Mus musculus: one gene and its partners. The protein of the gene in region 3 interacts with the protein of the main gene of each other region in a pairwise test. Links are inferred from orthologs where the notes say so. Each region holds a gene or a part of one and is shown on either strand. Other genes may lie near its edges.

Region 1 (3,960 bases), on a different chromosome or scaffold from region 3:
TTTTTTTTTTTTTTTTTTTTTTTTTTTTGAGACAGGGTCTATGTACCTGGTCCTCCCGCTAGATGTGTGTGTGTGTGTGTGTGTGTGTGTGTGTGTGAGAGAGAGAGAGAGAGAGAGAGAGAGAGAGAGAGAGAGAAAGAGAGAGAGAGACTCATCTTCTACCATGTGGGTCCTGGGGATCAAACTCAGGTCAAGCTTGGTAACAAACATCCTCACTCACTGAGCCCACCTGCCCACCCTTAAAATTTCTTTTTCAGAGCAGACTCCTGCAAAAATAAAACATATCTAATCTCTTATCAGTTCAACTACAAACAGCCTCATCTTCACCACCCCTCCCCAATACCCAGACAGAGAATACAATTTGTTTTGTCTTTATAAGATTTATTTTGTTTTTTATTTATTTTATTTTATTTTGGAGACCAGTCTCAGTCTTCCTAGAGTAGGGATTACAGATATTTACCACCACGTCGTTTGTAGCAGGTCTCAAAAACAAAGATATTTCACTTCGTCTTGTTCACACACACACACACACACACACCATTCTCACTTACAAGCCTTCTGCCCTTGGTCATCTAGGGACCTCTACCTAGAACAGGTTGTCTTCCTTTTAGCTTTACCCAGGGACCATTTGTCCTGAAGAATTGTGCCCAAGTGGGACCAAGTGGGGCAGACCTAGGGCACTTTAATAAATCTAACGTGATACCAGAGATCCCAACATAGTGGCACACTGTCACCCCAGCCCTTGAGAAAGGGAGAGAGCAAAAAACAAAAAAACAAACCCAAAAAAACAAAAAACAAAACTAGGGGTTCAAGGTCATCCTCAGCTACAGCGCCCCAGCTCCAGGCCAGCCTGGGCTCCACAAAACCCAAACTGAATCTAGTGACAATGAGAAAGCAGCGTGCAGGGTGACAGACAACGCCCGAGGGGTAGGTGACCACGGGGCAGGGCGGGGCAAGGACAGTAAGAGGCAACCACGCGTGAAAGCAGCAAGCTAGCACACAATGGGCCTGGGAGGGCAGAGCGTGCGCGCGGCGCCCCGGGGGCCGGCCGCCGCACCACGTGGGCCGCAGAGCGCGCCGGGGCCAGCAGCGGGCCCCGTCGGCCCAAGGCCGGGCGCGGCGGCGCGCGCATGCGTGCGTGCGACTTGCGATCAGGCAGCGCGGCGGACAGCCCCGGTAGCGGGGCGGGCGGGGGGAGGAGGAGTTATATTGCGGGGTCCTTCCTCGCTGGCCCGCTGGTTCCTCAAGGAGCGGAGACGGCAAATGGCGGACTTCGATACCTACGACGATCGGGCCTACAGCAGCTTCGGCGGCGGTAGAGGGTGAGGCGAGCGGGGCGCGGTCAGGCGGGCCAGCGGCTCGGCCGGGGGGAGTGCCGAAAGGTTCGAAGGGGGAGGCGGCCTTGCCGCGCTCACTCGAGACGGGCGGCGGGAAGCGGCCTGAGCAGGCCCGAGGCGAGGCCTGGAAATGGCGCGCTCCGGGAGCGGCTGGCGACGGTTAGGCTGCGGGTCTCTCGCTTGCTCGCGGCGCACATCCTGCCCTCGGCTCCGCGCCGGCCCCGGACCCGGCACCCTGCGGGGCCTCGGTCGGAAAGTTAGATCACAGCGACACCGGAGGGTTTCCCGGGGATACCAGTGCCCGCCCGCCGCGTCCAGCTTTCTCCCCAGCGCGCTCCGGGCTGGGATGCAGCGCGGAAGCGGGCGGCGGCGGCGGAAGCGGCCTGCCCCTCTCCAGGGTCCCCGCTGCCTGGCGGAGCCCCTGGGTCGCTTCTGCGAGAGGCCCGCCGGCAGCGAGAGGGGCGATTTCCCTTCCGATTCGAGTCTGGATGCTGGGACCGTCGGATCCAGCGAGGGAGACAGGGAGCGGGGACCTGAACCAAAACAAATCCACCGTAGTGGGGAGTGTGCGTGGCTCTTTCTCTCTGCCTCCCTGGCGTTTCGAATGCCTTATTGACAGATACTACGTGTCTGCTGGCGGAGATTGTTGATTTCTTCCCAGTTTCTTCCCTGACCTGGGGAATCGCTTTCGCTTCGTTCTGATTCCGGTCAGATAAAGACAACATACTTTAAAACCAGTCCTCCTCCCACCTCCCTAAATCCTTTACTGATGAATAGATAGCTCCTGGTGCATAATTCCAAAAAACGGGCGCCCGGATAGTTTGTGCCCTTTTAAATAACACGTTACCAGCTGGGGTTGTGGCTCAGTCACAGAGCGATTGTCTAGCATATCTTGGATTCAGTCTCCTGCCAAACAATAGAAATAAACAAGCATCAGCCACTTGCTTTTTTTTCTTTTTTTTTTTTAAGCTTATAGGAGTTTTATGGGACAATTTAATCGTCTTGTTTATTTGTCAAGGACACACTTGGCTTTTATCCTTTTTTACAGCAAAGGTGACTTGCCCGGAGAATATCACAATAGTTGTACTGAGGTGTTGGGTTTCCTAGGTGGCTGCCCCCAAAGTGTCTTTTGTTAGGTGAAGAATGATCACCTTTAAATACCTGGGTTTGAGAGTGAGTCACAGTCTTGTTTGGTTGCAGTAGTGTACTGGGTACTCTTCATGCTTTCAGAAGGAGGAAGTTGGGGCTAAGGTGGAGCCACACGTATTTTATTTGCTAATAAAAATAAAAATAGGTGTTGGATGAAATGTTAGCATGAATACCCTTGGGGATGGCTTTCTAGGTATGGGATTTGTACTAACGTCCCATTGGGTTGTTTTTTTTGTTTTAAAGATAGAGTCTTGGTGTGTATGTAATTCTGGCCAACTTGGAACACGCCATGCAGACCAGGTGAATTCAGCCCACCTCTGCCTTCCCAGTGGTGGGATTAGAGGCCTGAGCCGGCATGCTCAGTTTGGGTTGGGTTGTTTTTCTCTACTTGAAAGAAGTAAATGTGCTCAGGGGCTCTTTTTTTCCTACTCGAATCCTCATACTGTAGAGAGGTTGAGGCAGGAGAAACCCAAGTTTCAGACAGCCTGGACTACATAGTGAGGTCTTATCTCAAAGGGGAAGAAAACGCCTTTGAACAAACTTCCCAACCTTTGATGATGATGGAAAGGTCATTAGACTTAGCACATGCCACAAATGAGACCCTTGAATAACTTTAAAACATTAGAAAAAAATTCAAATCTCTCAAGATGCAACTTATTTGAAATACTTATAGGCAGATGAAAATGTTAGCCATTTACCTAGATGATCTCTCAAAGCTAATTTGAGATTCTTAACTTTTGGTTTTTCGATACAGGGTTTCTCTATGTAGCCCTCCCTGACTGTCCTGGGACTCACTGTGTAGACCAAGCTGGCCTTGAACTCAGAAATCCTCCTGCCTCTGCCTCCCAAGTGCTGGGATTAAAGGCGTGCTCGTGCGCCACCAAGCCTGGCGATTCTTAACACTCCTTTAAGCATCCCTTAAAGATGTTCTGAAAAGGGCTGGTGAGATGGCTCAGTGGGTAAGAGCACCCGACTGTTCTTCCAAAGGTCCAGAGTTCAAATCCCAGCAACCACATGGTGGCTCACAGCCATCTGTAACAAGATCTGACTCCCTCTTCTGGAGTGTCTGAAGACAGCTACAGTGTACTTACATATAATAAATAAATAAATCTTTAAAAAAAAAAAAAAAAAGATGTTCTGAAAGTCCCTTTACTTATTAACACCTCTTTGAATTGAAATTTTCAAGTTGTTTTCTTTTTTTGGGATACAGTCTCACTATGTAGGTAGTCCTGGCTGTCCTTGGAAAACAGATCTCCTGCCTCTACCTTCAAGCACTGGATTTAAAGGCCTGCATCACGGGTACCAGGCATTTTGACTGGCTTGTTCACATGGAAGTACATTTTTCAATTTCTTTACTCATTTTTTTGGTATGAGTGTTTTGTCTGCGCATGTCTCCTTTCCTGGTGTCTAAAGAGATGTCTGGGATGAGTTATGAGCCACCCTGTAGGTGCTTTGGTAGAATAGCTGATGCTCT
Region 2 (4,123 bases), on a different chromosome or scaffold from region 3:
GCCCCAGTACAGGGGAACACCAGGGCCAAAAAGGGGAAGTGGGTGGGCAGGGGAGTGGGGGTGGGTGGATATGGGGGACTTTTGGTATAGCATTGGAAATGTAAATGAGCTAAATACCTAATAAAAAATGGAAAAAAAAATATATATCATTCAAAAGGAACTTCCACTATCACCTACCTTGCTTAAAAAAGTACAGCCCTCATAGAGATGTAGTTAATACCACTAAACTTTATACTTCAAAAAAAGTCAAAACTAAGGTTTAGCCGGGCGTGGTGGCTCACGCCTTTAATCCCAGCACTCCGGAGGCAGAGGCAGGCGGATTTCTGAGTTCGAGGCCAGCCTGGTCTACAGAGTGAGTTCCAGGACAGCCAGGGCTATACAGAGAAACCCTGTCTCAAAAAACGAAAGAAAGAAAAACAAACAAACAAACAAACAAACAAACAAAAAACCCACTAAGGTTTACATTACATAAAAATGGAATGACTGAAGGGAGGGTGTGAAAGAAAAAGAAAGCAGTTCATAGTTTTCATTAGCTGGAAACTTACCACAACTTCCAATCATTCCTATAAAGGTCACACTTAAGTCAGAACTTATTTTTATGAAAAAAGAAAACCTATCGTCTGTGCTTCAAATACTCTGCTTTTCCACTCAGCTGCTATAAATACTCATGGTGATGGTAAACATCAGAGCAGCTGCAAAACCAAACTACTACCAGCTCTTTACATTCCAGTTCTAAGAGGAAAAGAAACAAGGACAAGTATTAGATCCAAGGTTCTTTTTGGTTTTTAATATTTTGATACAAGGTTTCTCAATGTGGCCCTGGTTGTCCTAGAACTTGCTCTGCAGATTAAGTTGGCCTTAAACTCAGAGATCTGCCTGCCTCTGCCTCAGAAGTGCTAGGTCTGTAGTGATGGGACTAAAGAAGGGACAGGTAACTACTGCCTAGATTTTATAACTTACATATTCGTGGCTGTTTATGTACACAATCTGCTTCTTATCCACATTAATAATTATATCGCCTGTCAATTTAGTAATGAGTTTGCCTTCTAGTACCTAAAAATCAAGATGATCGACAGGCATGGCAGTAGTACATGCCTTTAATCCTGCACTTGGGAGGCAGGGACAAGCAGATCTCTGTAACTTCAAGGACAGCCTGGTCCACGGAGTTCGAGGCCAGACAAGGCTACACAGTAAGACCCTATCTCAAAAAAAGAAAAGGAAAGGAAAAGAAAGGGGGTGGGGAGGGCAGACTGAGCATTTTGGTAGCTTGAATTAATGCCCTATAATTTGGAACTTATTTTTTTAAAAAGTAGGTTAGAGCAAGCAAGCAGTCTAGACAGCCAGCCATTTCAAGGCTAACCTAGGTTGCACAGTTTAAGGCTATAACCAATAAACAAAAGAAAAACAAACTTGGCAGTTTTGTGAACTAGAAGTTCACATCAGCCTAACATAATGTCCAAACTCAACTACAATCTTTAAACATCCTTAGTTCCTTTCTGCCCGTCCTCCTCAACTGCTTAAACAGCACTATCTTTTTGCTCATTTTAGTTGCAGAACAAGGAAACTAAGTGGTTTAATAATGTTCAGAATGTTTTCTGCAGTGGAAAGTGTTAAGGAGTACTCCCTGCTCACCTGTGAGTCAGGTTGGAGACCAGCCACAAAGGTGTTTCTAAGGTTAACTCTTTAAAGCAAAAGAACCGGGGCACTAAGATTGGGTATGGTTGAAACGTTCGACGGTCAAATCTTCCAATTTAATTTGCTCTCCGACTGGGGCTCTCACACTAGATAGATACATGACAAAGCCAAGCCATTCATTGCACAATGTAGGCCAGCGCTTGCACCACGGAGGGAGGGCATCACGGAACTCTCCTAACGCATGCCATTTACCCCAGACAGAAAGGTGGGAGACACGTGCCTAGAACGGGGCCCGACTCCTTTTTCAAATGCCAAAGGACAGTTAGGTGTGGAGACCCAGCCACAAGAGAATGTGAGTAAAGGTGTCAATTCCGCCGCGCTAGGGTCAGATGTGGCTGAGGGAACAGAGGTGTCCCGCAGCACTTTCCCTAGATGGAACAGGGTCTCAACCCACACACAAAGAAGGCGCCACTGCCGCACTGCGCTCTGGTAGTCGTAGTAGTATCCCCAAAGCCAGTGACGGCCAAGACAGACAAGGTCCCGAAAAAAAGAACAGGCCCTTCTCCCCGGCCTCTTCCAGCTGCACACAAAGGACCGCGCCACCACCCCCTCACCCCTCCCGCCGGGACTTGTAGTTCCCTTTCCCCCGCCAAGCCGCAGAGGGGGAAGAGGACGGACTACAGCTCCCGGCAGCCTTCGCGCCCGAGCCCCGCACCCTCTGCCTCCATCTTGGCTGCGGTCGGAGTTTCCATTTTCGCTCCCTCCCCCCACTTCAGTCACCGACACCGACACCGACACCGCCGCTACCCGCACCCCCTGGCCTCACCTCCTCACTAAGGCTTCGCGGCCGGCCCTGAGGCCGAGACGGTTGAAGCCAGGGTGAAAAAGGGACGCCTGGAGTAGGAACTCACACTGAACTCTCCTCCATCCGGAATTCTAGGAGTGCCCACTCTGACACTCAGAGGTCCCTCCCGTTAACCTGAGTCTCCTCAGCTGTCTTTAACCTGGCTCGTTGCTACCCCCACTTTAACACTGAGGTCGTACTCACCCCAACAGCTCAGCGCCCCCTCTCCAGCGCCGCCATAAGCAGCACGGCCCGGTACGTAGGAATAAATCTCGCTTCTCTCGCGAGAGTTGCAGGCTCCGAGCGCGTGCACGGGAAGGTGGGGGGAGCGTGCTCTTAGTACGCTTGCGCGCGAGGGCTGAGTGACGCCAGCCGCTGACCTGCGTTTAGCCACACGCAAGCCGGTGACTCTTCTTCTCTACGTTCGCCCCTGGGTAGTGCCAGAAGCAATCTCTGCGTTTAGTGACTCTGCTGCGACGCTGGGGGCGGGGCGAAGGGTGAATTTAGGCGTTCACCCGGTGTTCGCGAGCCCGAAAGCTTTCAGCGACGAGGCTTGAGTAGGAAGGCCTTATGAAGTAGGAACAGTTCTGAGGGCAGATCCGGGAGTGTCGTGAATAAAAAGATTTCACTTTCCTCAGCCATAATCCAGGAGTCCAAATCGCAGTTTCTCTTTAGTCACGGGACAGGCTTTCTCCTGTCTCCTACATTAGAAGGGATTTCATTGCTTTAGAGAAAAGTTTTTAACAAAGTAATTTGTAAAGCTTTTGTCTTCCAGAAACTACATTGCTTGCGACAGACAAAAATAAGCGAGGCTGTATTATCAATAAAATCTAAAATTCCCCAAACCACTTTAACTGTCCGTTTCAGTTACCAGAAGATTTTTGTAGTGTGTCAGTCTGAATAAGTATTTAAAAGGCTGAAAGCAGGCTAAAAGCATAATTCACCTGACTGGAGTAGAGGAGTGGAATGGTTAGATCTAACCATTGCAAAGTTATTTAGGCTGCCCTGTCAATAATCTAGAAAACAATTACTTTACTTTTACTATCTTGTTGGTTTTTTATTTTTGTTTGTTTTTTGAGACAGGGTCTCACATGTAGCACATGCTGCCCTGGAACTCTGGGAAATCTGCCTGCTTCAGCCTAGTGGGATTAAAAGTGTGGACAACCATGCCCAACTTCAGTGGTCCTCTTAACCATTTTGGGTAAAGGGTAGCTCCCTGAGGACACTCCCATCTATTTCCTGCTTCTGTGGGAGAGGAGAACATTCTCATCCTGGTGTACTTTCCTTGCGGGGGAGAGACAGGGACTCACCCAGAACTTGCTGTGTAGATCTAGCTGGCCTAGAACTCATGAGATACCCCCCCCCCTTCTCCTGGCCTGGCATTAAAGGGGCGTGCCACCACAACCTGCCAAGTGTACTTCTTACCCATACTTTCAGTTGGTTATTCAGAGAAACTGCAGACCTCTGTAGACATAGGTAGGGCTTTCAGGGGAACAAATTACATGTAATAAAATAAAATAAGCAACAAATATGAATATTGTCCCCCCACTCTGTGTGTGTGTGTGTGTGTGTGTGTGTGTGTATTGGAGACCCCAGTATTGGAAAAGCCAGAGCCATGAGATACCTGCAAAGCTGAAAGGAGTT
Region 3 (4,043 bases):
CTTGTCCCCATCCACGTGGTTGTCCTCCCCATCCCCCTGCATGTCAGGCACTGATGCCACCAAGTCTTTCAAGAAGTCAAACTGCTGCTCGAGTTCAATGCACTGCTTCCTAAAGAAGTGGGAAAGGAAGGGGTTCAAATGGGGCCCCCAAAACACTTAGGGAAGGATACAAACAACTTCTTCGTGTCAGTACAGTGGAACGTTAAAAACACCCCTACTTCCACCAGGCCTCCTGGGAGGGCCGGTGGCTCGGATCTGGTTGTATTCCCTGCACCTGAAACACCTAATCTCTCCTGCATCAGTCCAAATCCACAAAGCTGGCCTCCCTGGGCCTTGCACCACTCCCCCTGTCGGAACTCTGCCTCCTCAAAAGCCCCTCCCAGCTCGGCGGCCACTCACAGGTGGGACGTGGTCATGGTTTTGGCATTTCGAGACTGGGTCACCTGGCAAGCCTTCTTCAACAGGGACTCCAGGAAGAGCTCAAGGGCCCGGGCTGAAGACGTCAAGGAGAATCCAAAAAGGGGAGTGCCGCAGTCCCGCCCCACGCCCCTCAGCCCAACCGGCCCCTAGTAGGATACAGATGATGACAGGCACAGCTGCCGCCACCTTCCCAATCTCTTCGTCCGTCTGCATGATCTTTTTGATCCGCGCCTGCCGAAAGGAAGAGGACAGAGCTCGTCTCTTGCGTCCCTAACACGGGGGACAGAGGGAACCGGGGGTATCCCGGGAGAAGGAGAAGAGGGCGGGGGGCGCTAAGTCAGGAGGGCATGGAAGGGGCGGGGCGTCAGGCCGTGAACACCTAAAGGCACCCGCCCCCCCCACCAGCAGGACCTGGGCCCAAGCCTCCCGGGAGCCCTGCCTGCCGGGGCCCATCCGGGCCACGTGCTCACCGGCGGAAACCGCGCGTTATACTTCTTCTTCTTGCTTGGCATCTCGGGGCCTCTCGTTGCGCCGGGCCCAGCGCCGCCGCCCGCAGCCTCCCGGCCCCGGGCCTGTCCGCCGCCGGCCCGCCGCGGTCCCCCCCCCCACCCTCCCCGGGTCCTGGTGCCGTTTACTCCGCCTACACCACTTCCCGCAGGGTCCTAGTGCCGCCCGTAGACAAGCAGCTCCCCAAACTCGAGCGCTGGGCTTCGGATCCTCTGGGGCGGTGCGCGTCCTTCCCCGGGCTCGCCCGCCACGCCCACCCGCCCCCCAAGCTAAAGTACGAACGTTAGCTCCGCCTCCCGAAGACCTGCACCTCCCGGGATTCTCGCGCCGGCTCCGCCCCTGGACGCTGCCCGCCCCTTCCCCTGGAGCCCCCGCCCCTAGCCTTCTGGTTCCGCCTCTGGCCCCGCCCCGTGACTGTGTTTGTCTATAAAGTTGTTGTTGAGGTGGCGGGACCCTAAGATGGCGGCGGCGGCGGCGGCCGTGGCAGGGGCGGGGCGCGGCGGGGGTGGCGGCGGCGGCGGCGGCGGCGCAGCAGATCCCGGGCAGGAACGGAGCCGGGCCCGAAGTTGGGTTGGCGCGGAACGGAGTGAAGGCCGGAGGTGACTGCGGGGTGGCGAGAGGGACGGCAACCCTTAAGCTGTGGGCACTAATGGCGGCGGATGTGGTAGGGCTGGAGCCTGGTCCTCGCGCAGGCCTGGTCCTATCTGGTTCGAGTCTGGATGGTACCCATTGACCCCCTGATGGGCCGCTGCCCTCTCTGGGGCTCAGAGCCTCGGTGTTTCACGGTGCCCCCAATCGTTCACCGGGGGAGGCCTGGCCCTCTACAGCCATCCTCTGAGGTTGGCGACCCTGCGTTTTGCCTACGTCCATTATATTGCAGCGCCGCGCTACCTTGCAGGACTCTAGTCCGGTGGTGTAGCCGAGCCCCGTGCCAGTTCACACTTAAGCTCTGGCGCTCTTTACGGGCATGACCTTGGGCAAGCCCCTTTTCTTAAGAGTTTCAATTTCCTTGTTTGTAAGCAGTGAAAGTAGTACTAACTATAGCTACTCCACCTCAGGCGTCTTATTCTGGAGACAAATCTAGACAGGATCAGTTGTTACCCATTGTGAAGATGAAGCAACTGAGGCACAGACATTATGTCTTGCCCAGGGCCACAGTTTACTGCAGTGCCTGGCACCCTCCAGGACCCAGCACTTTTTATTTACTGTCTCAAACCTCTGACTCAGTTCCCTCACAACAGGATGGAACCAAATGAGGAGCTGGAAGAGGAAGACTCTCCAGGTGGCCGGGAGGATGGCTTCACTGCTGAGCACCTGGCTGCAGAGGCCATGGCAGCCGATATGGACCCCTGGCTGGTATTTGATGCCCGTACCACACCTGCCACAGAGCTGGATGCCTGGTTGGCCAAGTACCCACCATCTCAAGTTACTCGCTATGGGGACCCAGGTTCACCCAACTCTGAACCTGTGGGCTGGATTGCAGCCTATGGGCAGGGTTACACCCCCAACTCAGGGGATGTACAAGGGCTGCAGGCGGCCTGGGAGGCTCTGCAGACCAGTGGGCGACCCATCACACCAGGTACCCTGCGCCAGCTGGCCATCACCCACCATGTGCTCTCCGGCAAGTGGCTGATTCACCTGTCACCTGGCTTCAAGCTGGACCACGCCTGGGCTGGCATTGCCCGGGCTGTAGTTGAGGGCCGTCTCCAGGTGGCCAAGGTGAGCCCACGGGCCAAAGAGGGTGGGCGCCAGGTCATCTGTGTTTACACGGACGACTTCACGGACCGCTTGGGTGTGCTGGAAGCAGATTCTGCCATTCGTGCTGCAGGCATTAAGTGCTTGCTCACTTACAAACCTGATGTCTACACCTACCTGGGCATCTACCGAGCCAACCGCTGGCACCTTTGCCCCACTCTCTATGAGAGCCGTTTCCAGCTTGGAGGCAATACCCGTGGCTCTCGAGTGCTGGACCGTGCCAACAATGTAGAACTGACCTAATGGGGCCGAGCAGGAGAGACCACCTTTTGCTTGGATCCTTCCTTCTTCTCTTCCTTGTCCCAAGAAGGCTGAGCTCCTTAGCCCTGAGGACTCATTGGCGTGGGAACTGCCTGCACTCAGTCCCTTTGCACTTCTGCTCTCTTTGTGCAGGGCCAACTCCCACCCTCACAGGTTGGGGGCTCTGGCTCTTGGAGGGCGGGGCCCTCGGCGGCCCTCTTTGATGCTGCTCCCCACCACTGCCCAGGACCACAGCTTGGGTGCAGAGACTCGAGGAAGTCTGTCCTGGCCACCTCTGTCCCCACTATACTTAGCCTGCATTCTTCCTTTTCTTTCCTCCCTCAGAAGGGAGAAAACTTAGTGCTTCCAGCCCCTGCCCTTGGCGCCATCATAGTCCAGGTGGCCGGGCCCTTCCAGGACTAAGCATGCTATTGGGACCTGTACATGTTCTGGCCAAGAGGAGACGCAGGGTCATGGACATGGGGTCTGCTCCTCCCTGCAAACTCATAGCCTGCATCACCACCACCCCTTCCCTGGCTACCTTGACATGTGCCTGCTCCTGACATTTCAATAAAACCCAGCTCGGGTCTGTGTCTTGAGTGTTTTTTACAAACACTGTCCTGATGGTTATCTGTGTTGGCTCTCGAGGAAAGATGGGGCCGGAAGAGACAGCTCCAGCCTGAGTGGGCCGCCTTCTCCTCCTCCCTCAGTGGTGAAAGTAGTGTGCTGCTGTGCGGAGGCCAGGCACCATCGCTGAGAACCTCTTCAGAGCTGTTCCCCTCTGTAACCATGGATCAAAATCAGTTTTTTAAGTCTTTCCAGAAAGGCCCAAGGCCTTTTTTGGTATATTCTTTTGGTCCCAAGGTATATTTGTTTTACATTTTATTTTATTAAGAAAGAGTCTCTCTCCCAGCACTTGGGAGGCAGAGGCAGGCGGGTTTCTGAGTTCGAGGCCAGCCTGGTCTACAAAGTGAGTTCCAGGACAGCCAGGGCTACACAGAGAAACCCTGTCTCGAAAAGACAAAAAAAAAAAAAAAAAAAAAAAAAAAAGTCTCTCGATGTAGCCTTGACTGGCCTAGAACTTACTATGTACCTTAGGTTGGCCAGTAACTCTGGGAAAT

Evidence for each region.
Region 1: the proteins of AI837181 (region 3) and Eif4h interact in binary tests that used the Homo sapiens proteins (3 or more experiments, as listed by UniProt). The two-hybrid records come from large-scale screens. The link is inferred for Mus musculus from reciprocal best matches to the Homo sapiens genes C11orf68 and EIF4H.
Region 2: the proteins of AI837181 (region 3) and Csde1 interact in a two-hybrid assay, tested with the Homo sapiens proteins (2 studies listed by BioGRID and IntAct). The link is inferred for Mus musculus from reciprocal best matches to the Homo sapiens genes C11orf68 and CSDE1.

What each region holds. Positions count from the first base shown.
Region 1 is NC_000071.6:134,636,603-134,640,562, reverse strand, and holds the start of Eif4h (eukaryotic translation initiation factor 4H), read left to right. Parts: upstream 1-1,153; 5' UTR 1,154-1,263; coding exon 1,264-1,322; intron 1,323-3,960. UniProt on the Homo sapiens protein: Stimulates the RNA helicase activity of EIF4A in the translation initiation complex. Binds weakly mRNA.
Region 2 is NC_000069.6:103,019,230-103,023,352, reverse strand, and holds the start of Csde1 (cold shock domain-containing protein E1), read right to left. Parts: upstream 2,808-4,123; 5' UTR 2,684-2,807; intron 1-2,683. UniProt on the Homo sapiens protein: RNA-binding protein involved in translationally coupled mRNA turnover.
Region 3 is NC_000085.6:5,423,783-5,427,825, forward strand, and holds AI837181 (UPF0696 protein C11orf68 homolog), read left to right. Parts: upstream 1-1,361; 5' UTR 1,362-1,386; coding exon 1,387-1,526; intron 1,527-2,154; coding exon of another isoform or gene 2,155-2,168; coding exon 2,169-2,925; 3' UTR 2,926-3,535; downstream 3,536-4,043. Other genes in the region: Drap1 (dr1-associated corepressor), read right to left, coding at 1-109, 400-493, 579-651, 891-932.